Oreochromis niloticus: one gene and its partner. The protein of the gene in region 2 interacts with the protein of the main gene of each other region in a pairwise test. Links are inferred from orthologs where the notes say so. Each region holds a gene or a part of one and is shown on either strand. Other genes may lie near its edges. The genes, in order: wbp2 and epn2.

Region 1 (12,038 bases), on a different chromosome or scaffold from region 2:
TGGACTATTAAAACTTGTGATAGCAATACTCTGCTGAAATAAAGACAGACACTTCTGAATTCTTTATTAAAATCCAGTCCAATGCATACATGCATCAGTTGAGCTCATGCCTTGTTTTCTTACTCGAGTTGGTAATTATTCAATAAATTAGTTTCAATTAAATACAGAGCTTTATTTTTATTTTACACACAGCCATGACGGAGCATACAGGAACCCGATGCATAGCATTCTAAAAGTGCAAAGAATCAGCCGCAGATGTGCCACAGATACAGTATATAGATTAGAGACCGCAGAGGAAGGAAGAATAGAAGATGAGATACTCAGATTGGACCTCAAACTGAAGAGTAATGATCACGACCACAGAAAGCAGAAACAGAAGAGTTCAGTGATGGTTCTGTTTGTGTATGTAATGTTAAAAATGTAGTGAAGATGAAAGCAGGCTGATGATGAGTCTGACCGTGCGTCTTCTCTAACGTCTGGAAGCGTAATAAAATAGGAAGTGACATCATTGGGTGACTGCTCTGCTCTTGCAACATTATAAAGATAATCCCTCCTGGCAGTCGGTCCCTCCAAAAGCCCAGCCGTCCTCTCCCCCGCTCTGATCCAGGATCAGGGATTGGCTGCTGTGGCTCAACGCCGCTCTAATCTTTGTGGTCCGCTTGTCGGCCAAAACACGTCAAAGCAGGTAGCGCCACCCTGCGACCCGCTCGTTAAAAAAGCTAGTTTTTCTTTAGGTTAGTGTTCTTGATAAAATAATGTTATTTTTTTTTTAAGTCTACATATTAAAAGCCTGTACACACAAATAATAGAAAAATAAAAGACTGCGTTCATTTCGCCTCTGGACAGGTTAGCAAAGTATTTACTATCATTTATCTGAGTCTAGTTTTATAGACAGTCACAGGACATCATAAGCACAGCTGAAGTTAAGGTTGCTGCACGATTCTGGGGAGGCTTCCAAGGCAAGAAATACTAAAATAGCTCATCAGGTTACAAGGTTTTAATCAAAAAAGCCCTCAAAACCACTCCAAACACTTTGGCCTGAACAATCTGTTCTTCCTCAGAGATTGCTACCAACACTTCTTCTTTGCTACTTTACATCACGTAAAGGTGCATTTGAAGAGAATGAAGCTGATTACAATATATGAGTCGTTACAAGGAATGCAGGCTGAGGCGGGAAAGCAATAGGATGACTTTAAGGTTAGATCAAAATGGAGATGAGCTGGAAGGAGATTAGGATGAAAAAATGGATAAACTTGGGGGGAAAAAAGAACATACTGGCCCTCCTACTGTCCGGTTAATGTAAGAGAAATAATGAGATCCAGCGGGATGGAGGACAGAGGACAAGGAGGAATGAGGGAGACATTAAGCAGGTCTACTGGTTCTTCTTGTCTTCTGGAGGAGAGTAGGGAGGAGGCTTGTCCTGGAAAGATAAGATAAGATAAGATAAGATAAGACAAACTTTATTAGTCCCACGCATGGGAAATTTGTTTTGTTACAGCAGTGGACAGTGCAAAGTTGCATAAAAAAATTAGAGAAAAACACTGGTATAAGATATCAATAAGATACTGTACACAATAGAATAAAATAAAATAAAATACTATATGCAATCGAATAAAATAGAATACAAATGCTATATACAATTGAGTATAATAAAACAATGCCAGATGACGATGTTTTGAGCATGTGAAAGTTGGTGCCATGTAAGCAGGAGAGTAGGAACACACAGTGGTCTTGGATTACTGACATACACAGACTGAAGCTGTGGTAAACAACTGGCTTTTAACCCCATAAAATGTGGTTTTATCAGTGACTTTCACTTGCTGTAACACCTTAACCATGTCATCCACCGATGCTGTTACTGCATAGCTGCTAGCATCAGTGACTGTGTCACAGCAAAGTAGAGAGAAAATAAATAAACACTGGCTGACCTTCTGCAGACTGATGCAGGTAGGGATGTTTCTGATGTTAATGGCTGATGGCCAATGCCTGTGCTGATTATTTTGCTGTTATTATGGATTTGTTGTCATTCATTGCTCTGTTTTTGTGTCAGGGGACAACACGAAATGTTACCTATGCAAAATATCTGACCTGATTTCTTTCACACTGAAAAAAAATTGATGTGATAACATATTGGTTATTCATCATTAAATGCCATTTTAACTGCCAATAGGCTGATATCTGTCAACTACATCGCTACATTTCAGTGTTTTACATTAACCGTAGCACTGAAACAAATTACACATTTCTCCAAAGTGGTGAAGACGGCTGCACGGAGGGCATCTCCTGTCTGAAGCTGTTGTCCAGACAGTAGATGCCCTTCTTGTTGCATGTTGAAGCTCTACTTGGAACCTTGTTAAGATCCAATCATGCAAAATATGATTTTTTAAGCGTCTTAAACTTTGATCAGGACTGTAGCATCACACAGTTGCTGGAGATCTGCTGTCTGCACATTAATGATATGAATCTCACATTCCACCACATCCCAAAACAAGACATTTTCACCCACAGAACTGCTCACTGGACCTTTTCTCTTTTTTGCTTCTTTCTCTGTAAACCTTAGAAATGGTTGTAAAGGAAATCACAAATTTCCAACCCAAAAACAAAAAAATGCTAGTGTGGCTCTATGAAAAAAAAAAAAACAGTGATATAAGTGAGATGCAGACAATACTCTCACCATGATTTTTTTTCTACACTTGGAAAATTAATCTGACTCGATGCCCCAGCTTAAATTTACCAATACGTTTAAATATCATGCAAATACACTGTGCTAAAATACTCTCCTCTGTATGCAAAAAGGCCCTCACTTTTCAAATTACACACCAAATGAGTTTATTTTGGATCTGCAGTCACTGTTAGTACAGCAATACTAGCAATGACTACAAACAAACAGATGACAAATGGAAAGGAAACACAGCTCAATTCAATGAGAAATGGAAATTCAAACAGACTGTCTCACAGCCACTGTAAGAAAATCATTGACAAGATTTACACTGTCATTTAAAAAAAAAACTTGTATAGCAGAAACATGAAGGGCAGCTCACCTGCGGCAGGTACACATGTGTAGGGGGCAGCGTGGCACAGCTGGCACTCGCTGCTGCTTCAGCGGCTTTGGCCTCCGCTGGGAAAGCGAGTGAGACAAAGGAGGGGGTCATTAATTAAACATGGGTCTTACTAATAACCCCTGGGACATATGAGATGAGAGGTGCTAAACGAGCTGCAGGTACGATGGTCGGTGCATTTGAGAGAGAAAAGAACGGCAGTTTAGAATCTCCCTGACTTGCAGATAGCATTTTTCCAGCGGGAAGTGTTTTAAATATTTTGGAGATCTGACATTAGCTTATCTTTAACCTTAAATTCCTTAGTACAAAGTCTCTGTGAGGCTGAATTAAGCTCATGTGATATCAGTGCAGTGCATTCATTGTTAGAAAGCAGGCAACATGTTGCAGTTCCCACTGCAACACTAAGTACTTCCAATAATGTACTGTATGCATCGCTTCAAATATCTTGAGGGGAAAAAAACTATCCACACTTTCAAAACAAATTACTTTTCTTAGTTTTCAATTTAAAGTTTACCTGTAATAATTCAATAAAGGAGGATATTTTTAAAAACAATCTATATACCACTAAAAAAAATATCCTAAAGACAAAAATGTTTTCCACAGCAGATATTTGACTTGGTGTGGCAGGAAAAGCAAAAATGTAACAAAAGACATTTCATTAACATTATACTGGGTCTGTATAATGTTTGCACATTTATGAAATGACAAAGGTATTCTATTCTTTTCTAACAAGACCTGTGTAAGCAGATCTGTTCCAACATGATATAGAAATGGTAAAGTATAAAATAGACTAACGAACACGTGCAGAAATTCAGCCTCCCTTTTTTCTGTTAGCATGGTGTTTTTATTTAGGCTGTAGCTGAAGTCAGAGCTTCTCTACTGGAGATTTTCACCTGCTGCTGAGGAGGGGAGGTCTGGATCATGTGGTGGCTGCTGACCCAGAGGAGCAGAATAAGGAGGTGGAGGTATGTATGCTGCAGAGGCATCAAACGCTGGAGGAGTGGCGTAGAATCCATCTGGAGTCCGAGAACAGAGAGTTGCAGTTTAGTTTTCACTTTCACGAGATGTGGAGCTAAGCTGAGGACAATTCTGAAAACTACCTGGAGGAGGAGGGTTAGGGTAGGAGTAGCCGGGCGGAGGTCCTGCTGGGTACATTCCATTAGCAGGGGGAGGTGGGTAAGCGTAGGCCCCATTAGCCATGTAGGGGCATCCACCAAAGCCAGCGGTTACAGGCTGACCTCTGGATGCTGAAAATGTGAGGCAGTAAATCGATTAATAAGTCCATAAAATATCAGGAACTGTAGTATTTCATGTGTTCTGCTTTGTTAACATACCCTGAGCTGCAACCTGCAACATGTACTGGCCAAACTCTATGGCTCCTCCAGCAGCAAAGATGAGCTTGAAAGTAGCACTGCCCTCCCAGCCACCTCCAAGAGATATTCAAGAGAGGGCTTAGAGACACAAGATGCTGCATGATCTATTACAGCATAACGAGGAAAAGGTACACCTACCTCCAGGCTCTGCATTGACTGTGCCCTTGATGTAATTGGCTCCCAGGACAGGCTGTTTGATCTCACAGCCCTTCATCAGGTAGAAAGGCATCATAAAAGACTGCAGTGCATCCCGCCCTTTAGCCAGGAAGATCACCTGGGATTAAAAGAAGAAACAGCATCATCTCAGCTTCTCCCAAACTAATCTTAAAGCTTAGTAATTAGAATGATAGAGTTCTGCTCTTCTGCTCTGCTAGTACTTGATGCGAATTGTGGCATCATTATGGCAGCACAAGGCTTCGTCTAAACAAAGAGGAAGACTTGGTGGTGTTGTCACTCACCCTGTATGGAGTCAGGTAGATGCTGCCCTTCTTGCTCTTTCTGAAGGCTTCGGGCAGCCTTTCCGTGTCACAAAAAACAAGCTCCACATTGTCATGATTCATCAGCACACTAGATCCAAAAACAGAAAGGAGACACTAGAACCAGCTGATTGTAGGAACCAGAATTTTGTGAACTTTTCAACATTTTTTGTGTGCATCAAAAAAAAATCAGCAATGTTTGTATGAGCATGTGACCTACTTTCATCTTAAAAGCTTAAAATTAGATCACTGGGTTATTGTGCAACTGTCCATTGCCTTTAGTACAAAGTAGTATAGGCAGAGGATTAACATGCCATCTAGTGACAGAGCTTACTACAGGTTCCGGGTTAGCTCTAATGGGTTTATCATTACACTGCAGCATGTTCTAGAAAAATCTGGCCATTATTTTGACTCGTGCTAATAAACAAAACAAATATTTTAGCACAGAGGCCAGGCCAGAGTGCAGACTGAAGGCTATGCAGCTATTGCACTGCAATATATGCTCAGCTATTCCTGCAATGAGGAGAAATAACGTTTTATCCTCGATAAATTAGACTTATTATAACATTTAAAAACCACTAAACATTTATGTAATCCTAGTCTGCGGTGATGATATAACAGGCTGAAGGGCCATATTTCGGCTAAGAGTCCGAGACCGGGTTCTGTAAGATGCGACGCGAATATTAGATTAGAAAATATGACGTTGAAATAATTAATATAGCCATGCTAGTCGTGAAGCACTCAGAGGTTTATTTTGTATCGCCTTGCATTGATTAGGAGCAGCTCTTCAATTCGGACTATATGATATAAAAGGCTCTTTGTAAAAAAAAAAGATACTGTAGTCAAAAATGAAAGCAAAACGATTATTTCACGGTGTTCGGCAAAGGCTTTTATACATATGTTTGTTTAAAAAAAATAAGCTACCAAATGCTAAAAGTTAGAATTTCAGTGCAGCGTTTACTGTGTGGCAGGTGTGTCTGTGTGTATTAACCGAATAATAATGTTGTATTTGCAGTGCAGCTGATATGTAAACTATCTCCATGAAACGTCAGAGCCACATTATTTTTGAATGAGTCTGGTGTGACGCTCGTCCCAAAGAGCGGGTATAACTTATCTGTGGCTGGTTAACTGTAACGCCTAGCTAACAGCTGCTAACTAACGTTACCTTTCACTGTTGTTGATGATGACACCACCGGACTCCGAGTGATTCTGGTTCAGAGTCATGTCGACGGCCCTCCAGATTGTATGCAAAAAATGAGATACTGTTTTATTCAGTCAGGAAAACGTATCCAAAGGCCTCTCTGGATCCTCGGTGTCTTCCCTCCGCGCGGATAACGGTTGTTGTGATACAGAGCCTGCTGAGGTTACCGCACCTGCCCTTCCGCCATACGTGTGAAACGCCCACGGCGTGACGTCACGCCCCTTTAAAAAGTCGGCTTTTCAAAACATTCAGTTCGATATTAAATATTTCTTTAATAAATTTACTATCAAATGTCTATGACTGAATGACGTTTGAATGAGCGACACGAGCTGATATAACAGGAGAAAGTTCTACAAGGTTCTACCAATTGCAATATAGCTTCTAATAATAGTAATAATGCCAGAAAATCATAATATACGTAAGACTTTTAATGTGTCTACGCCTCTATAGTTAGTAGTACAGTTAGATGTAAAAAAAATAATAATAATAATGATAATTCATTAATTCGTTAATTAAAAAAGAAAGAAAGATTTCTTTACATGATGAGTCTGGCTGATGTACCTATTATCCTAAATAGAAATGTATTCTTACTTAATTGCTATTAGTACCTTCAGGGCAGGGCCAGCCTTACCTGTTTAAGGGACAGATAATTTATTTCAAGTGAGTCAAAGGCATTGACAAACAGAAGTAAGTCCAAAATTCTATTTGTAGTACAAATATGGCAAGATGATTTATATATCCAAGTATTGAAATGCCTCTTACATTATGTAACAGAATGAGTCAGGAAAAGGTGAGTGGTCAGGTTAGTCAGAAGCACCCACATCCTTGTAAAAGATGCAACAAGTGGCAAATCCATGGTGTGTGTTGGCTAACAATAGTTGACATCTATGTCTGACCCTCTCTTTGTATCGTTCTCTAAATTCCATGCACAAACCTATTATATGAGCCAGGAAAACAAAGAACAGATAATAGATTACGCAAAGCTGTTAAATAGAACAGATGGGTTAAATGTCACTTTTCACTCCAATGTGCTAATACACTGGAGGTGATGTAACTACCCTTACTGTCAAAGTTTACTGCTATCATATGAAGCTCTAGGATGCGATCATGGAACATCTCATACCTGGATCTAAGCTCATATAACTTCAGTGCTACCATACAGGTAAAATCTCAATGCCTACACATGAAGCTGTGTGGAAACACCTGGCTGATGCTTGAAATTTAATCTAAAATGATTGATTAAGAATTCTTTACAATTATAAGAACTCAACCACCTCAACATTAACATAACTAATTTTTTACTTCAAGTAACTTTCAATTAAAATTCCCAAATATTCATTAGCTGTGTTTTTTGCTGCACACATGCTAATAAATTTATATATTGTTTGCATATTATTAGTCTAATAAAATCAAAATGCCTTATTAATTTTATTTGATTGAACATTTTATAAACCAAAGATTTTGAGATTTCATTGAAAAAAGTCATCAGATGCACTGTAAAACTTGATATACTGTCACCTTAACCAGTGTGTAGAATGCAAAATGTAGCTAATTAGCTATAAGCTAAACTAGCCTTTTTAATCTAGCTAATTTAAAAACGATGTAGCCAGCTGAAAATAGAGTATATGTAATACAGTGAAAGCAATTACTGAAACAGTTTAAGAAAGGGTACCTTAAAGTAAAGACTGAGATATGGTTTTGTATAGAATGTGATGTCTTTGTGATTGATAGTGTTACAAATAAGGTTTCTTTTTAACATTAGTTGCAATTGTATGCTCATAATAGAGTTGATACACTCTTCATTAGAAGTATACAAGCTTTACTAACCCCAAGGTGTGAAGGGTTAACTAAGAGGCATGGAAAGAGTTGAGTGTTGAAAATAAATTGCTTCACCTTTACACAACACAGTTTCAGACAGGATGGGCTGCTTGGCTTTGGGTGTCTGATAACAGGGGGTTCTAGTCGACAAGACATGGAGACTTTATTGTGACAGGACAAGATCCCTGAGTGGAGGTCAATGACCGTTGCCATCCAGAAGGACCACGAGAAGAACAAATCAGGGTATGTTGAGTCTAAACCATGGCATTTACCCATCAATAGCCAGTCACAAAAATTGTGATTGGCTATTCCTAATTCTAAGTATATACTTTGAATTAGGAATTGTGCTTCACTTCTCCATGTGCAGAGTGCCCCAATAGAGGTCCACAGCTATGCAAGCCAAATCTTTAACTGCCTGATAATAAAATACTGCAAATAGTGTCTCCTGAACTTCTCTCAATTAAAAAAAACACCACAATAGCTCATTAGCCAGTCTAGCATTGTGTGCTATATAGACATGTCTGGACAGGCACCACTCTGTATTTCTTAGGCAAATCCTATTAGAGCTGTAAATGCTAGCCTGTGACCACAGAGCCCACTAAATGATGTCAGGACCTTGCCCCATACTCATGGAGTCTGATTCAATTCAATTCAATTTTATTTATATAGTGCCAAATCACAACAGAAGTCGCCTCAAGGCGCTTTATATTGTACAGTAGATCGCACAATAATACATACAGAGAAAAACCCAACAATCATATGACCCCCTATGAGCAAGCACTTTGGCGACAGTGGGAAGGAAAAACTCCCTTTTAACAGGAAGAAACCTCCGGCAGAACCAGGCTCAGGGAGGGGCGGGGCCATCTGCTGCGACCGGTTGGGGTGAGAGAAGGAAAACAGGATAAAGACATGCTGTGGAAGAGAGACAGAGATTAATAACAGATATGATTCGATGCAGAGAGGTGATCAGAAATATGTAGGCCAGACAGTGTCCAGCTCTCCCTATTTAATTTTCTGGTACCTCCTCAACATTCTTCAGACTGCATTAAATGTGCCCTCCTGGAGAAACTAGATTACCTGTGCAACCAAAATAGCCTGCAGATACAGTCTTACGCTACAAGTAGTGACAAGGACACTAGCAAGAAGCAAAACAAGAGAATAATATCACAGGTTTAGTCAGCTGTAAAAAATTTTGGGCAGCGTATATTAACTCATAGTGGAGTAATATAATGGAGTAAGTCAACATTCTAAATAAACACAGGTAAAACTAACCACACTCCACAGACAGGCTGCACTGTCTCATGTTACACGCAGTTTCATTATTTAATTCATCATGTGTCAAGTTATGGAAAATTTGCTCCCAGGACATACAATTTTATATGTCATCAGTGAATGTAACCTTTAAAGCTTGATTTATAACAAAGCATAATGTCCCGAAATGTAAAACGCTGTATGTGTGTTGATGTTTGTATATGCAAAGGTAACAGGGAGTGAGACCAGTATTTTGTATTCAAACAAAATGTGGGGCACTAGATGAAGAAAAAGTCATCAGTCACAGTCATTGACGTTACCACCTTCTACAGGAAGTGATGACTTCCGGCTGCTGTGTGACAGTTCATCGAAACACACCAAAGCACTCAGCTTCCCTATATCACGCACACTAGACTCAGCAGCTCACGAGGCAGGAGTCTGATGATCTTAGATTCGCATCAATATGTCAAGTCAAAGTGAGCCCACGAACAAAGGAGACAATCTACTGCAAACACCTGAACAGGTAAGGACTACAGTGCATTTCAATATGTTGGCACGACTGTAGACTCCACAATATTTATTTAAATTTGATTCTCCGTGAGTTATTAACTACTTATGTTACACGGTGATCGGGTAACAAGCAAACTGATGATCCCTTCAAATATTTCTGCTCTGGGTTTAAAAGATTTTCCTCGGGTTTGGTTTTCAGTAGCTTGTTATACTAGCAAAGCTTTTTTGCATTTTAGGCTAATTATATGAAAATTAAAAGAAAAAAAACATAAAATGGCAGCTACAACAGTGCTGTTGCATCTGAAGTTGAGTCACTGTCTCCAAATGGCTATTTCGAGATGCTGTGACTATGATTCATTATTATTTTCGGGGGAAAAAAACATCAGATCATGAAGAATGAAACATATTTTTCACAAAAGACGCTATTTCTTCACACTGTTTTGCAATCATTTACTTTTGAAGGGTTTGCTACATTCGTACATAGTGAAAATGCTGTACTGGTGTGCGTGTGCGTTTGTTGAGGATGGGTACATGTGTATTTGCATAATTATTTTTAGACTATGTTTATAATGATTCCCTTTCAAGTGAATTTCCTGGATTGTTGGTTTGCTTTTGCTTCCAAGTCAGTTTCATTATCAGCGACAGAGGAAGTCTCTTGCATAGGCAGGCCTTATCAGAAACTTTAAAGAAGCACTCGCATTTCTTCAGACCAGCATTGATGTATTTTTTGCACAGGAAGAACTTGTAGCGAAGGCTGCAGTGACTTGAGATCACATTTAAATTCCTGTTAGTTTCAGTTTGATTCAACTGAAGTAGTTGCTTTCTTTCCGTCCATTTAAATGTCCAACATAAGCACCTTTCCCTTGTTTTTTCCAGGACCATGGCTTACCAAGACTCAAACAGGTAAAACACACAAACCGTAATGAACTAAACCAGTGTGTGTGTGTGTGTGTGTGTGTGTGTGTGTGTGTTGGGGGGTAAATTTAGCTAAACCAAACCAGCCAAACTGAAAGACCAGAGCCTAATGACTCTGTATCACTGTTCTCAGCATGTTCACATTGTCATATTTATAGATAGTTAGATGTGTAATGGTTAGCAGGTTCATTGCTAATTACCACTCAAGGCTAAATAATGGAATGGACTGACATTTATGTAGTTCCTTTCTGAAAGTGCTTAGACTACATTAAGTATAGACTGCAACTACACAATTTACCTTTCTGTTATACGTGATCACTGTTTTTAGAAGTCATGTGATGTAAGATTTATTGATCGGCAAAAAGAACAATCACTCGTTGAGCTGCTATTGAGATGTCTCTCTCGCTTTCTCGAACCTTAGCTGCTCCTGTTGTTCCAAGAGGAAAAATAATCCCATTACTAAAGTCATCATGCTATACTTGGTACAAAATGTACCCAAGTTATTTTACTAGAGGAGATTTCTTCCTCTTGTGACAAAAACTGTTGTGCAAAATTCTAAGTTAATCCCTCCAATAGCGGTCAAGAAATTTCATTACAGATCAGCTTGGTTGCACTGGTTGAGAAAGAGTCAGATATCCCCCAAGAATCATTACGATAAATCCTTTAAGAATATTCATCCATCCATTTCCTTCTGCTTATCCAATGCGGGAGGAGTTGGAGCATATCCCAACTCCAACAAGGAAAAGTCAGGGACAGGTTGCCAGTTTATTGCAGGCTTACAAACTAGATTTGGCAAAGGGAAACTAACTCACATATGTCTGGACTGGTGGAGGAAGCTAGAGTACCCAGAGAGAACCCGTGCAGGCAACGTGAAGAATATGCATTTTTCACTTAACATCTGCAGATCTTGTGCAAGTTTGTCCTGTAGATATTGGGAGAATTTGCTAAATTACGTTATGGTGACACTAGAGAATAAATCTGTAAAATTCATCTTTTGAGGAGCATGAACATCTGTGCAGAATTCCATTTCAATCCTTCCAGTCTTTGTCAAAACAGCCCCTTCAAAAGTCCTCAAAGTCATTAGCAAACGTTCTATATGGACAATGTCAAAATGTACAAAATTTCAGGAATTTTTATAGGGAATGTACTCAAAGAGCTGCCAGTGTGACAAGTAGATATTGGATTATTTTACTGAATATGTTAAAGCCAGGAGGTCTTGTTATCAGTTATTGATATGTTTGTTCATAAACAGCTCACTGGCTTTGGTACAGGAAAGTCCCCTCATGAACAGGGATTCCCCAAAGTTACTAGGACATATCCTCTTTGAACAATGGACGTCAAAACATGGATAATATTGTATAAGTCTGTGAAATAGATGTTGGATTATTTTACTAAATAGGTTAAAGCTTTGACACTGTGGTGGCACAATCGGTGT
Region 2 (12,046 bases):
TGATTCAAACTTAATTTTTCAGCTCTATTCACATCACCTGATTTCACAGAATCTGAATGTCATTGTGCATCAAGAGAGAACCCACCAAGGTATCTTCTCAAACCACATGTACAGGATTTAACTGCAACAGGCTAAAAAGTTTTCCAAATCAACCCTTGTTTTACAGAATCACCCCAATCATTAGATCAAAGAATGATTCATGTTTTTCAGCCAAACCTGTTCATATTGCCTGGTGAAGGTTTGGAATGGGTTTTTCATGTCCTAAAAAAATATATGAATGAATATATTCCAAAGAAAAACGTAGAACACTTGACTTAAGTGAGTCACCTTAGATCATAACAAGTTCAACTTATCTTGTGTGTGTTTTGGCAAAAGCTAGGTAAACTGTGATTAGCATTAAGGGCTCAGAAGCAGCGCATTGAGAACAGGTCCACCTTGTCACACAGAATGAGTAAAGCTGATCTCGAGATAGTAGGCTTGCACAACCGGGCGCCTGTGTGTGAATGTGACAAGACTATATTTGTCTGTTCAGAATGACATGGTGTATAATAGGCTGTGTAATGGCATCCAGCCAGTTCCTTAACCACCCCTTTACAGTCTGGTACAACCAGGAGCAACATTCACAAGTAATTAATCCTCATCTTCTCCTAGACCCAAGGATTAAGCTCCCAAAAGCCAAACTCGCGTCAAATAAGCACTAACACTTGTTCAAACAGTACTAAAGTGGGTTTAAGTGAGCTATTACAACCGTGCACTGTGAGACAGTGAGACGGGAGGAGAGACCACCATCTGATCGACGCATCACCCCACCTTTTGTCCTCTCTTGCTAGCCGAGAGAGACAAAGCCAGCCAAGACAGGGACGGGAGGAGGACCGTGATGATGCATCTGTCACCCCCGTAACTGACTGACCATCCTGACATTAAAGGAAGCGCTGCCCCTCTTCTCAGGCCACATAAATACGGGTTCAGTGCAACTATGAAAAGAGAGGTTTTACTCAAACATCTTTGTTGTATGTTGAAAATAGAAAAGAAAACCCTGCCAGTATTAATGATCTAAAAACCAAACACTTTACTCGCTGCTTGTCGGAAACGAAGAGAGTAAACAGACAGCGCCCACGTCGTAACGATATTTTTTTGATAAAAATATCAATAAGTACGTTAAGTTTTGGACTGCTGAGTCACTGTAGTATGCTCTTGTCTAGCCCTCGCCTCTATAACAGCACACGTGTTTCGGTAGAGAAAATAAAAATAATTTAATTGGCTCCTTTTTTTCTTTTCTTTTTTTAAATCACGGCGTCTCCTTGAACTGACGTGATTGATAGTTAGCACATAAGCTAAAGTAGCTTTAGCTAACATTCGTTTGGTGCTAGTAAACTACCTTAATGTTATTTATAATCCTTTCAGTCAAAAATCCAGGTGATAGAGGTGAAATAAGTATGTGTATAAAACAGTGCAAGCTTACTCTAACACAGAATAGCGACCACACTTGCTACTAAGGGGTTTGCCGCTAACTACAGCTAGTTGAGTGCAAACTTGCGGCAAGTTCTAGTTCTTAGCATTGATTGAGTTAGCGGTGACTACACATTTCAGCTCACTGGAAAAGTACATAACCCGGAAAAGTTTGCTGTAGCGTAAAAATACACTGCAGCGATCACTTTTTCCACTTATAGATATTTGCACCCGAGATACCAACCACCGCCTAGCGTCCAATTTACAAGACGATTTCAAATCCTGGCTTTGGGAAAAGTTGAATCAAAGCTAGCAGAGCTTGTGTTAGGACAGCCAGTTCACACACCATCCCCTCCAGCACCCTACTAACAACACAACTGTTGATCGCTCACCATCTAGATGTAACACAGTTTACTATTTACCGGTTTTACGACCAATCCTATACTGTAACGCACAATCGTTCGCGTTAGCCTCATAAAGTACTTTCTATGTTAGGACAGTCAACTAGCATGTAAAGCTAGTTAGCGATCCTTCAAGCTAGCAGCCAAGACGGGAGCTCAGTGGAGACATCACCATAGCAAACTGGATTACAGGACACCCCAGAAAAACAAAACAACGCGACTGTGTTGAAAACCAAAGGTAACTTACCAGAATTTTTGAGAGGGATACTTTAGGTACTCGTGTCACTCCAAGTGGAGGTCAAACCAATAAACAAACGTAGCTAATTCCAAAAAGAGAAGGGGGAAACCGAGACAGGAGTACTTATTTGGGCGTTCAAGGAGCTTGTTGCGCCTCCGCCTAGCTATATGCTGCTAGTGCTAAGCCAGCTAAAGCCAGGACTACACGTATCTCCTCCTCCTACAGAACATGGCGGGCAGAGCAGGAGGTGGGCTGTAGGGGTTGGCCGGGAAGGGTGTGACCATGTCGGCTTGACTTGGTAGGGATAGAGACAGACCCTTCATCCCTCGTGAAAACCCACGGGGGGGAAAGGTGCGTCGCTGAGCAAGTGACTGTAAAGTGATAATTATAATTTTCAAGTTTTCACATGAACGATTTACAACATGCAGACATGCGTGACCACAAGAATGGTTATATTAAAGTGCTGGACTACTTTGTTTTTTTTATGGAATAGCTTTTTTGTTTTAGTAACCGAACAGTCCTCTCTGGTAAATCTAGTTTTGAAGAGCCATTTTCCAATTTCGTCAAAGAAAGTTAGCAGCCAAAAGGAAATAAACGGACATGTAGATTGCACAAGTACGTGCATGTCATGATTTGTCACTGCAGGTGTGTCATTACAAAGCGCAAACTTTGTAGGACCGCATTCCATCGCTCTAATTTTTTCCACCCCACCGTCACTACGCAACCGCATTTTCTTTCACAGGTATTTAAATAGAGGGAGGGGGACAACACGTCACACGCCCCAGACACACGTGGCACAACATCTATGAATAGGCGCAGATGCCTTACTAAAAAGTGCGCAGTGAGCTATTAATAGAAGTGTATAGGTTGTAGATGCAAAGCGTGCAAGTTAAAAATAGACAGGGATCAAAATGTCACGAATCTGCAACGCTGACAGCAGCCAAACGTCAGTATGACCGATGTGATGTCAGTTGGCTGTTTTTAGTGCTGTGCCATACTGCAAATTTTGTTATGATCGATAACAAATAAATACAGGGCCAGCATTCCCGATACCATTATCGGTATTTTCAACTTATAAGCAGGGCTCTAGACTAACTTTTTGACATGGGCGCACCAGTACGCCTAACTTTAAAAATTTAGGCGTACTGGCACAAAAGTTAGGCGCACTCAAATTTTTCAACCACATCGCTTAACACCGCAGTTTTACACGTGCACTTTCTTTGGGGGGGAAGTCCATACAGACAATATTCATTTCTAAATTATTAACTGACAAACTTGTGCTTAAATTGCTTTGTCAATATTGTAGAAAATGTTAAACTTAATCATCATCTTGGCTCCTCTGACACCTGTTTGCTGCTGCCTGCTGCTGCAAGGCAGTGGGGAGAGGGGACACTTGGGCAGTGCATTTATTGCAGCGTATAATGTGTTTTCTGGATACACTGCTGTTTTTTCAGCATTCAAAGATTGATGGCACCGTGTCAGAGCTGGCTATGAATTTCAGATGGATCAGTCCTTAACTTAACACAAAAGTTATCAATAGTTCTTTTCATCTTTTCTTATTACCCACAGCTACATCCACTTCTGTCAGGCCTAGGCTGCTCACTAGGGCTGGGAATCATCACTGATTTCTATAATCCATTCGATTCCGGTTCTCAAAGTCCTGATTCGATTCAATTTAGCCTCAGACAGTCAGAAATATTATAATTCTGATAATTTATCAGTACTGATACATGTGAGACTTCATCAGAATTGTGAACATCACAGCAGATGCCTTTGTGTCAAAGTAACTGAGAATAAAACACAGAAAAACATGAAGGAGATTTTCCTGGTCTGGCGTTTTATAGCAGATAACCTTAAAAATATTCTGCAATTTTACATAATTTTAAGAAGTTTAAATTTCTTCAGTATTGAACAGCAGAAATTAGGCTTTCTTGTCCGAGGTCATTTAAGTGAAAAAAAGAAAAAGAAAAGAAAAAGACAGCGGCCGACAGCGCTGTAAACAACGGTAGACTGGTGGGTAAAAAAAAAAAATCTTTTAGCGAATAAATAATGCAGAAAACTTTTTGAAAACGCAGATTTTTCTATGCGTTTGCACCTTTCGTCCACACGTAAACGGCTTTTTCGGTGACTGAAAACGGAGATTTTTAAAAACGCCTGCCAGGGTGGATATTTTCGAAAACTCTGTTTTTGCATTTACGTGTGGACAAGGAAAACGGAGAAAACGCAGCGTCAAAGGTGTGCGCCTTTTTTGACGTCACACTGTGCGCCACGTTATTGTTTCGGTGAAATGAATTTCTACAATACTGTTACTGTTAATTTTACTCTCTGCAGTGTTTAAATGCTTACATATACACACACAGTTACTGTCCCTCCACACATAGGACTCGGTTGTGCTTCTATCCCCCATCTTTGTTTACTATTTCCTACCGAGGCTTCTAGACTTCTGATTGGCCAACATTTCTACACGGTTAGGAATATATCGCCACCTGTTGCTTTGGCATGTTCCTAGCAGCGTTTTCCTTCATTTCTGCGTTTACGTGTGGACGGGATTATTTTTTTAAAACGAAAACGGAAAATCTCCGTTTTCAAAAATACCCATGTACGTGTGGACGTAGCCAAAACCTGCAGCTCAGAATCTAGCGCAAAAAAGACGGAAACACAGCGCGGACCGACGCATCAGAATCGCTAAGCTCCGACAGCGTGTCCGTGTTCGGGCCGTGGGGTGAGAAAGCCGAGAAAGACAAAGCTGATTCTGATGCGTCGGGTCCGCTCTGTGTTTATGTCTTTGTGTGGAATCCGTTAATGAATTGATATCGCTTTATTCAAGCTACTCACCTCTCTCTTCCAACTGCACTTTCAACTGGACCACGGCCAATCAGAGAGGTCCCGCCCCTGACTATCTCTGATTGGTTTAGTCCACGATAGGGGCATAATGTGTGTCTGTTGTTGACCACACGGAGAGTTGCAGAGTTTTTTTTTTTTTTTTGTTACCCGAAAATATTTTTTTTATTCGCAACACTGAAAAATTGGTCGCACTCTAGAGCCCTGACTTATAAGGACAGCTTATGTAGGGGAGTGTCATGTGTCATGACATTTAAAATCATCATCAATTTGCAAATTCTGAACACATTTTAACGAACACCAAATTACTGTGAGTTTTTTCTTTTACTTTTCTCAAAAAAATCTTTTAGCTTTTTGTCACTGGGTTTTTTGGGGACCTAGAATGTAAATGCACCTCTCTAAAGCACTTTGTGTGAACTTCGGTTATTAAATGTGCTTTAGGCTATAAATAAAATAGACGTGACAGTCAACACAGTTTAAGACATTTTTTCATAGTACATCTTTGAGATTATTTTTCAGTTCTTAAATATAAGACAGTTCAGTCAGATAGATAGTTAACTTTGGGGATAGAAACAAAGTATTGATCCTATCACGCTAGTATCGATCCGATACAGATACCAGCATTGGTATCGATACTGTCGATGTTTGAATCGATCCACCCAGCTCTGCTTTCTAGTAAAGTGCTAAATCTGGCTGGGAGTGCCACCTTTAAAGTTCACTGATGCTTTTGTGTCCTGCTGCTGCATATTCAGTGGAAAGGATAAGCCAATTAAATGAAGCCCAAGCCAAGCTGATTGAGATGTTTTTGGCACTCGCTGCTCTCTGCTTGAGAGAGTGATAAAAAGAGAATAGACTCTTTGTGCAAACAGGTTTTTTAAATTGTGTAATTGGCCTGCTCTAAAGCTATTGCCTGAACAGAACAGAGCAAGTCAGAGTGCGAGAAAAACAAATTGTACTACACACTACTTACTAACTCAAGACCTTTAAGAAGAAGACCTATATTGGTGTTTTTAGAGGAGTATTTCAAGTTGATGATTCATCTTACTAGACTGCCAACATCCACTATATAAAGCAAAGCCCCTCCTGATGCGAGCCTGCTAACAAGAGGATTGTGTACCAAAGAAGGTTTGGTACATGGCAAAAGGAGGACATGATATCTTTGTGTTACTAAAATATACATGATCTAATCCTCATCAGGTCTTAAATCCATAAAGTACAACCTCATGACATATTATACTGTGTCATAAACTAAACTAAGCCAAAATGCAGAAGCTACTATGATTCAGTAGCTTGTAGAACCACCTTTAGCAGCAATAACTTGAAGAAATGGTTTTCCTTGTGACTTTATCAGTCATTCACATTGTTGTGGAGGACTTTTGGTCCACTCTTCTTTACAATGTTGCTACAGTTCATTGAAGGTTGTTGGTTTTTGTGTATACACAGCTCTCTTAATGTCCCACTGTAGCATATTGATCAGTTTTAGGTTTTCAATTTTCAGTTTACTGTTGTCCTTGGGAATACTTTGGTATACCAAGGAGTTCATGGTCAAGTTAATGACTGCAAGGTCCTGCAACTGCACAATGAGCCCAAATCATGACCCCTGACAGGTGATACGCGGCATTTGTGTTGTTATGCTGTCTTTGAGGGGAGCGCGGAGGCGTGGTGGTTTGCACTGTCGCCTCACTAGGAGGTCCTGGCTTCAATTCTAGTCTGAAACCTTCTTGTGCCGACTTTAATGTTCTCTCCAAATAGTTCATCTTCACACATGGAGTAAGGTTAATTGCTGATTCTAAACAAACCATAGATCAGAAAGTGAGTGCGAAAGATTGTCTGTCTCGATTTGTTAGCCCTGCCACAGACTGGCGACCCCAGCTACTGTAGAATGGACTTTCAAATTGTTTGGAAATGGCCTTAACTCTTCTCAGATTGGCGGGCAGTAACAAGCTCATAGCTGATGCCTTTTGTTCTCAGGACTGATGGCCACACACAGACCTGAGCGCACCAGACCAGCAAACTGCCAAAACTTCTGCTTGTTATAGACGTGATCACACTTGCTGATGATCAGTTAATGGAGTGCACTTGATTAGCAGCATCTGGCTGCTACTCTCTGAATTCCTATAGATGTAGTAAGGGTTCATGTTTTTTGCACACTGCCTCTGCATTTTGGCTCAGTTTTGGTTAAATAAATAATGACACGGTGTAATATGTCATTTGTTGTTGTTTATCTGAGGTTGTTTTTACTGAAGTTTAAGATCATATTATTTTAAAACCTCATAATTGAAAGAGGATGTACTTTATTTTATTTTAACCATGGCTGTATTTCTCCATAATCCAACACAAAGATGCAACAGCTTTGTGCAAAATAGATGTAATTGTGGCAACTGTGGCAAATCCTTTGTTCTTCTGCAACAGGTATCAAAGAGAAGCTTGAAGGTGACATTCATGGTTGGGTGAGAAAGCTACCTCAAGCAGTTATTTTGCAAACAAACAACAAGAAAATGTCACCTTGGCATTTACTATCTCCTCTTATCAGCCAAACTTTGAAAGTTAAACTAAATTCTGATTGGTCAGTCTGTGCAAACAAAAAAGTGAAGTGGCTATGTGTTGAGTATGTGCCCTTTTAAAGTACATGCAGGTCCAGTGTCAGCCAGTAGAGGTCAGGAGCGTCCCACTTTTAAAACAGAGAGCGTGTCTGTAATGTGAGCACACACTAAACTTGGGAGGGCTGTCTAGAACCCCCTGCAGACATGTGTGACCTTTAATATGTAATTACCATATGTGACCCCCCACAAAATCACCCTCCACAAAATAATCACCCTCATTCTCAACACTCATGCCCTATTAGAGACTCTCTGGGCCATTAGCTTGTCTTGCACCATCCATGGTCAGATGCACTGACCCAGCATAGTTTTGCTCATGCAGAATGAGTATTGCAGTCACTAACACATGATTCGTTGAGTCTAGATGCCACCATGCGTGACACATGAACAACAGACGTCAGTCAGGTGAAGCTCATGATGATCATTTGTTGTTAGCAGCTTACCATATCTCACACCAGTATTATATAACCGAGCGGCGTTTATCCCACACCAGAAATTCAGCCACCCAATGCGGTAAATCTCAGTTACAAAGGCAAGCGGTGCATGTGAGTCATATTAATTTGAATTTTATTCAGCAGGATGTGCAAACACACAAGGTTCACCTAAGGAAGCTCAAGCATGAATATAACTGGTGCATCACTTTGAGAAGCCTGCAAAACTTATGTAACGTGGAGGAAAAGGAGGAAAGACTGGCAGGAGTCAGTTTTTGGCCTGAAGTGGCGCACTTGGTTCCAGACGGAGCCTAAATCGGCAGAAAGGGGGGGCAGAAAGCATGAAACAGGATAGTGTATAATTTTTGCCACTCCTGCCAGCTTATTAGCTAAATCTTTTCATATGCAAATGGTCGAGTGCTTGTGAGGAGCTCTTGTAGATTATACCTGGAGAAGGAAGGTAAGTGGAAGAAAAACAGCCCCAGCAGTTGTTATTTACACATTTTTAGCATAAAGAACCCACCTGATCAACTCCTCTACTGTGAGAGCGGACTTATTTTCTTTTTAGTAAAAAAAAACAAAAAAACCTTCATTATAAAGGCAACTTTTTAATCCATATAGTCAGCCTTCCTCAGTTGCAGAGATACAAATCCATACATGACCTCTTACCAGTTTGACATTTTCTTGACCAGTGTGGCTGAAAAATGCACCTTTTCACCCACCTGTTCACACATTTCTACAGACATATCCTTGTGAAACCACTCCTGCAGACAGAGGTGAATCATGTTTTCACTCTTACACACCTAACCACTTTAGTTACATGTACCCTTTAAGACAGAGGGGTCAAAGATAAGGCCAGAGGGCCAGAACAACCAGGCATAGTCAAAGCTGGCCTGTTGGGCTGCTTCGGAAAATGTGAAGGAGGGTGTACATTTTGAACTTTTCACTGTATTTTCACAGGTTTTGCAGCTTTGTTCTGATGATGAACACCTCCCCAACATATTTAAGTGATAATTAAACAATTAAATGACAGAAAAGTGCCTGTTTTTTTTCACTATCTAATAAAGAAACTTCTAGGTTAAAAAAGATCATTTTCTTCTAAATGAACAAAAACTTTTATATATATATATATATATTCACATGCCATATTGGGGAATGGCATGAGCTTTTTCTGTAATTTTACATATTTATTTCTTACAGTTTAATCCCAAAGAGTCATCCTCACAGATTTAACTACAGCAGCATTTCTTCACCTTATGTAAAAACGGAGAGCCGCTGCTGAAATTACACTTCTTTTTGTTATATTAAAACATCTCATAGATTAAATGTGTGACAGAAAGTGTAGAGTAATGTTGATCCTGGGCAGCAAATGAAGGAGGTAGTTCTCTAATTGGCTTCACAAAACTTTTTTTTTTTTTTTTTGGTGAGCTCAGATGCCCTTCCTGCCACATGTTGTTCAGTAAGTGCGTGAGAGAGGAAGCAAGGTAGAGCAAAAAAGCAAGTGAGAGAATGGGAGTGGGGGTGGGGGCTAAGAGAGGAACATAGATTAAAAAGCATCGTGGGGACAATGCAGTACAATATAATGACAGCTATTGGAGGTGGGTGGGTGGGGGAGGTGGCGGTGGTGGGGGATTACAAGCATATAGGTGCAAAAGAAAATTGAGGGTAGGAACGAGCTGTAGACAAATGTGGCCTGAGAATGCACAGATCCTGAGAGGCATTGTTTATTTGTTTCAGGGGAAGTTGAGCGATTTTGTGCCCACCTGCTTTTTCCGCCATTGCACACTGACTTCCGCCAGCTAACTCAAACACGCAAACCTGTTCACCCATTTCAAGCCCCCCTGCATTACTGCCCCCGGCAGGATGAAAATGTTGATGAAAATGAAAATGATGAAAATGTCACCCAAGCAGAAAAGCATTGGGTTTGCATACTAGGTGCTGCCTGTGTTGTGGGTAACACACACACAGTGTACTGCAAGGCTGTTAAAAATGGCCTATCAGTCACACTGAATGAAGGATTCATCACTGTTAACAGAAAACACATCATTGTGTACGGGCAGCTGATGTTTATGTAAGTTTTAACTTGGTGTTTAAAACATCCGACGCTTTCCTGGAAAAGGACACAGGAAGTGATGTCATTGTGTCAGCTGAGGGGCCTAAACAAAAGAAAAGAGCAGTGAACAGCACAGTGCCTGAGACAAAGAAGAGAACCACCTACGGACGCACAAACTCAACCAACAGAAAAAAAAAATGCAAAAAAAAATAAAAAATAGGATCACCCACAACGTTTATGTGATGAGTGAGGCCAGAGAGCTGTACACAGAAACACAGCGGCGTGTACCACACATGAAAATATAGGAAAAAAAATGTCTGGCTGTAGACTATATCGATCCTTAAGTTTTTTAATTCACTTCCAGCATTTCAAGTCCACAAGACATCATCACACACAGGAAGGAAAAGACTTAAGAACAAGGCTGTTGCTTCGGCCTTAGAGCAGCCGGCCAGTTCCACTTCCTCTCTTTCTCTTCCTCTTCTATTCTTCCATCACCTCACATCTAGCCTTCACATCCCGCACTCCTCCTTCTGGTGGCACAGTCAAGTGACGCAGCTGACCGGGGATTTCCTGGACAGGTCACGCTAAAGAAACAGCTACAACTTCCCTGTTGTTTTATCTCATTGTAGTTAGAGCAGTTTGTATTTTTACTTTGCATTTCCTCTTCTATGTTTTACTCTCTGTCTCTTCTTCTTTCTAAGTCCATCCAGACAATATCTACAGATCATGAAGTGTGGAGGCTCATTTGGGAGGGAGTTTGATTGGCTGCTTGTAGAATGTTATAGATGTGTCCTTGATCCAACACAGATGATTTAAATGGCTTAATGACCTCCTCAACATGTCATGAAGTTCTCTAGAGGCCTGTTAATGAACTAATCATTTGATTCAGGTGTGTTGACCCAGGGTGAGATCTAAAACCTGCAGGACACCGGCCCTCGAGGCCTGGAGTTCGACACCCCTGGTCTAGAGCAAGGCAGGAATCTCAGAACTCTCGTGGACAGTGGTCTCAATTGATAACTGATAATCATACCAATAAGGTCACCAGGACTGCTTTCTACCATAAAAAAACTAAAAGTTAGAACATTCATATTAAGCAGGTTAGACTACTGTAATGCTCTATTTGAAGGGTTATCCAAATCATCAGAAGGAGGACTTCATAATACAAAAGACGGTGAAGATCCTTACAAGTACACAGACACTGTCTACAAGTTCAGTACAAAATTACCTTTAAAATCCTCCTACTAGTTCACAAAGCTATCAATGGCTTGGCCCCTCAATACATCTCTGACTTGCTCATTGTGTATAACCCAATCAGACGTCTCAGGCTATAAGGTTCAGATCTTTTAACTGTCCCCAGAATTAGATCTAAGTGTGCTAAGGGTGCTTTCAGTTACTGTTCTCCTGATCTCTGATCCAAGCTGTCTGCTGACCCGAGGTCAATCAAATCTATGTCTGCATTCAAAAACAGACACAAAACCTTTTTGTTCTTGCAGGCCTGCAGTTAATAACTGTGTGTATGTATTGACTTATATTTGATTTCTTTGTGAAGTCATTGTAGACTTACAAAGGTTTTTAATGTTTACATCGTTTATGTAACGCACATGAAGTTTACTTGTAATGAAATGCGTTGTGTAAAATAAGATGCCAATTGACTGACAGGCAGTTTTATGGGCTGAGGAGCCATGTTTTTGGTTATTCTATGACAAACTAAGCAGCTAAAAATATCTTGAGTTGATTCCAAGTATTGAACATGCATTTGGTAGATTTTCACTTGAACTCCCAATGTGAGATCCAAAGAAATGTCAATGCAAGTGAAGGAGGCCACTCCTGCACTTGCATAGTGCTCTAAGAGTGACAGTAAAAAGCTCAGGAGTGGCTAAACATGTAATCTCTACACTGGTTATCTCAACCACACAACCCCCCAAAAACCACAAAAGACAACTAATGCAGATGATGACAGAATTATTTCCATGGTTGCAAAAGACAACTTCACACCAACTAACCAAGCCATCAACACTTTCAGGAAGGTAGCA

The links.
Region 1: the proteins of epn2 (region 2) and wbp2 interact in binary tests that used the Homo sapiens proteins (3 or more experiments, as listed by UniProt). The link is inferred for Oreochromis niloticus from reciprocal best matches to the Homo sapiens genes EPN2 and WBP2.

The regions. Positions count from the first base shown.
Region 1 is NC_031973.2:25,100,135-25,112,172, forward strand, and holds wbp2 (WW domain-binding protein 2), read right to left. Parts: upstream 6,318-12,038; 5' UTR 6,133-6,317; coding exon 6,074-6,132; intron 5,000-6,073; coding exon 4,891-4,999; intron 4,707-4,890; coding exon 4,571-4,706; intron 4,487-4,570; coding exon 4,394-4,486; intron 4,307-4,393; coding exon 4,160-4,306; intron 4,076-4,159; coding exon 3,953-4,075; intron 3,119-3,952; coding exon 3,042-3,118; intron 1,421-3,041; coding exon 1,373-1,420; 3' UTR 158-1,372; downstream 1-157. Other genes in the region: unc13d (protein unc-13 homolog D), read left to right, coding at 9,642-9,701, 10,565-10,591. UniProt on the Homo sapiens protein: Acts as a transcriptional coactivator of estrogen and progesterone receptors (ESR1 and PGR) upon hormone activation. In presence of estrogen, binds to ESR1-responsive promoters. Synergizes with YAP1 to enhance PGR activity.
Region 2 is NC_031969.2:13,199,244-13,211,289, forward strand, and holds the start of epn2 (epsin-2), read right to left. Parts: upstream 4,980-12,046; 5' UTR 4,924-4,979; intron 4,485-4,923; exon of another isoform or gene 4,447-4,484; intron 2,332-4,446; exon of another isoform or gene 2,098-2,331; intron 1-2,097. UniProt on the Homo sapiens protein: Plays a role in the formation of clathrin-coated invaginations and endocytosis.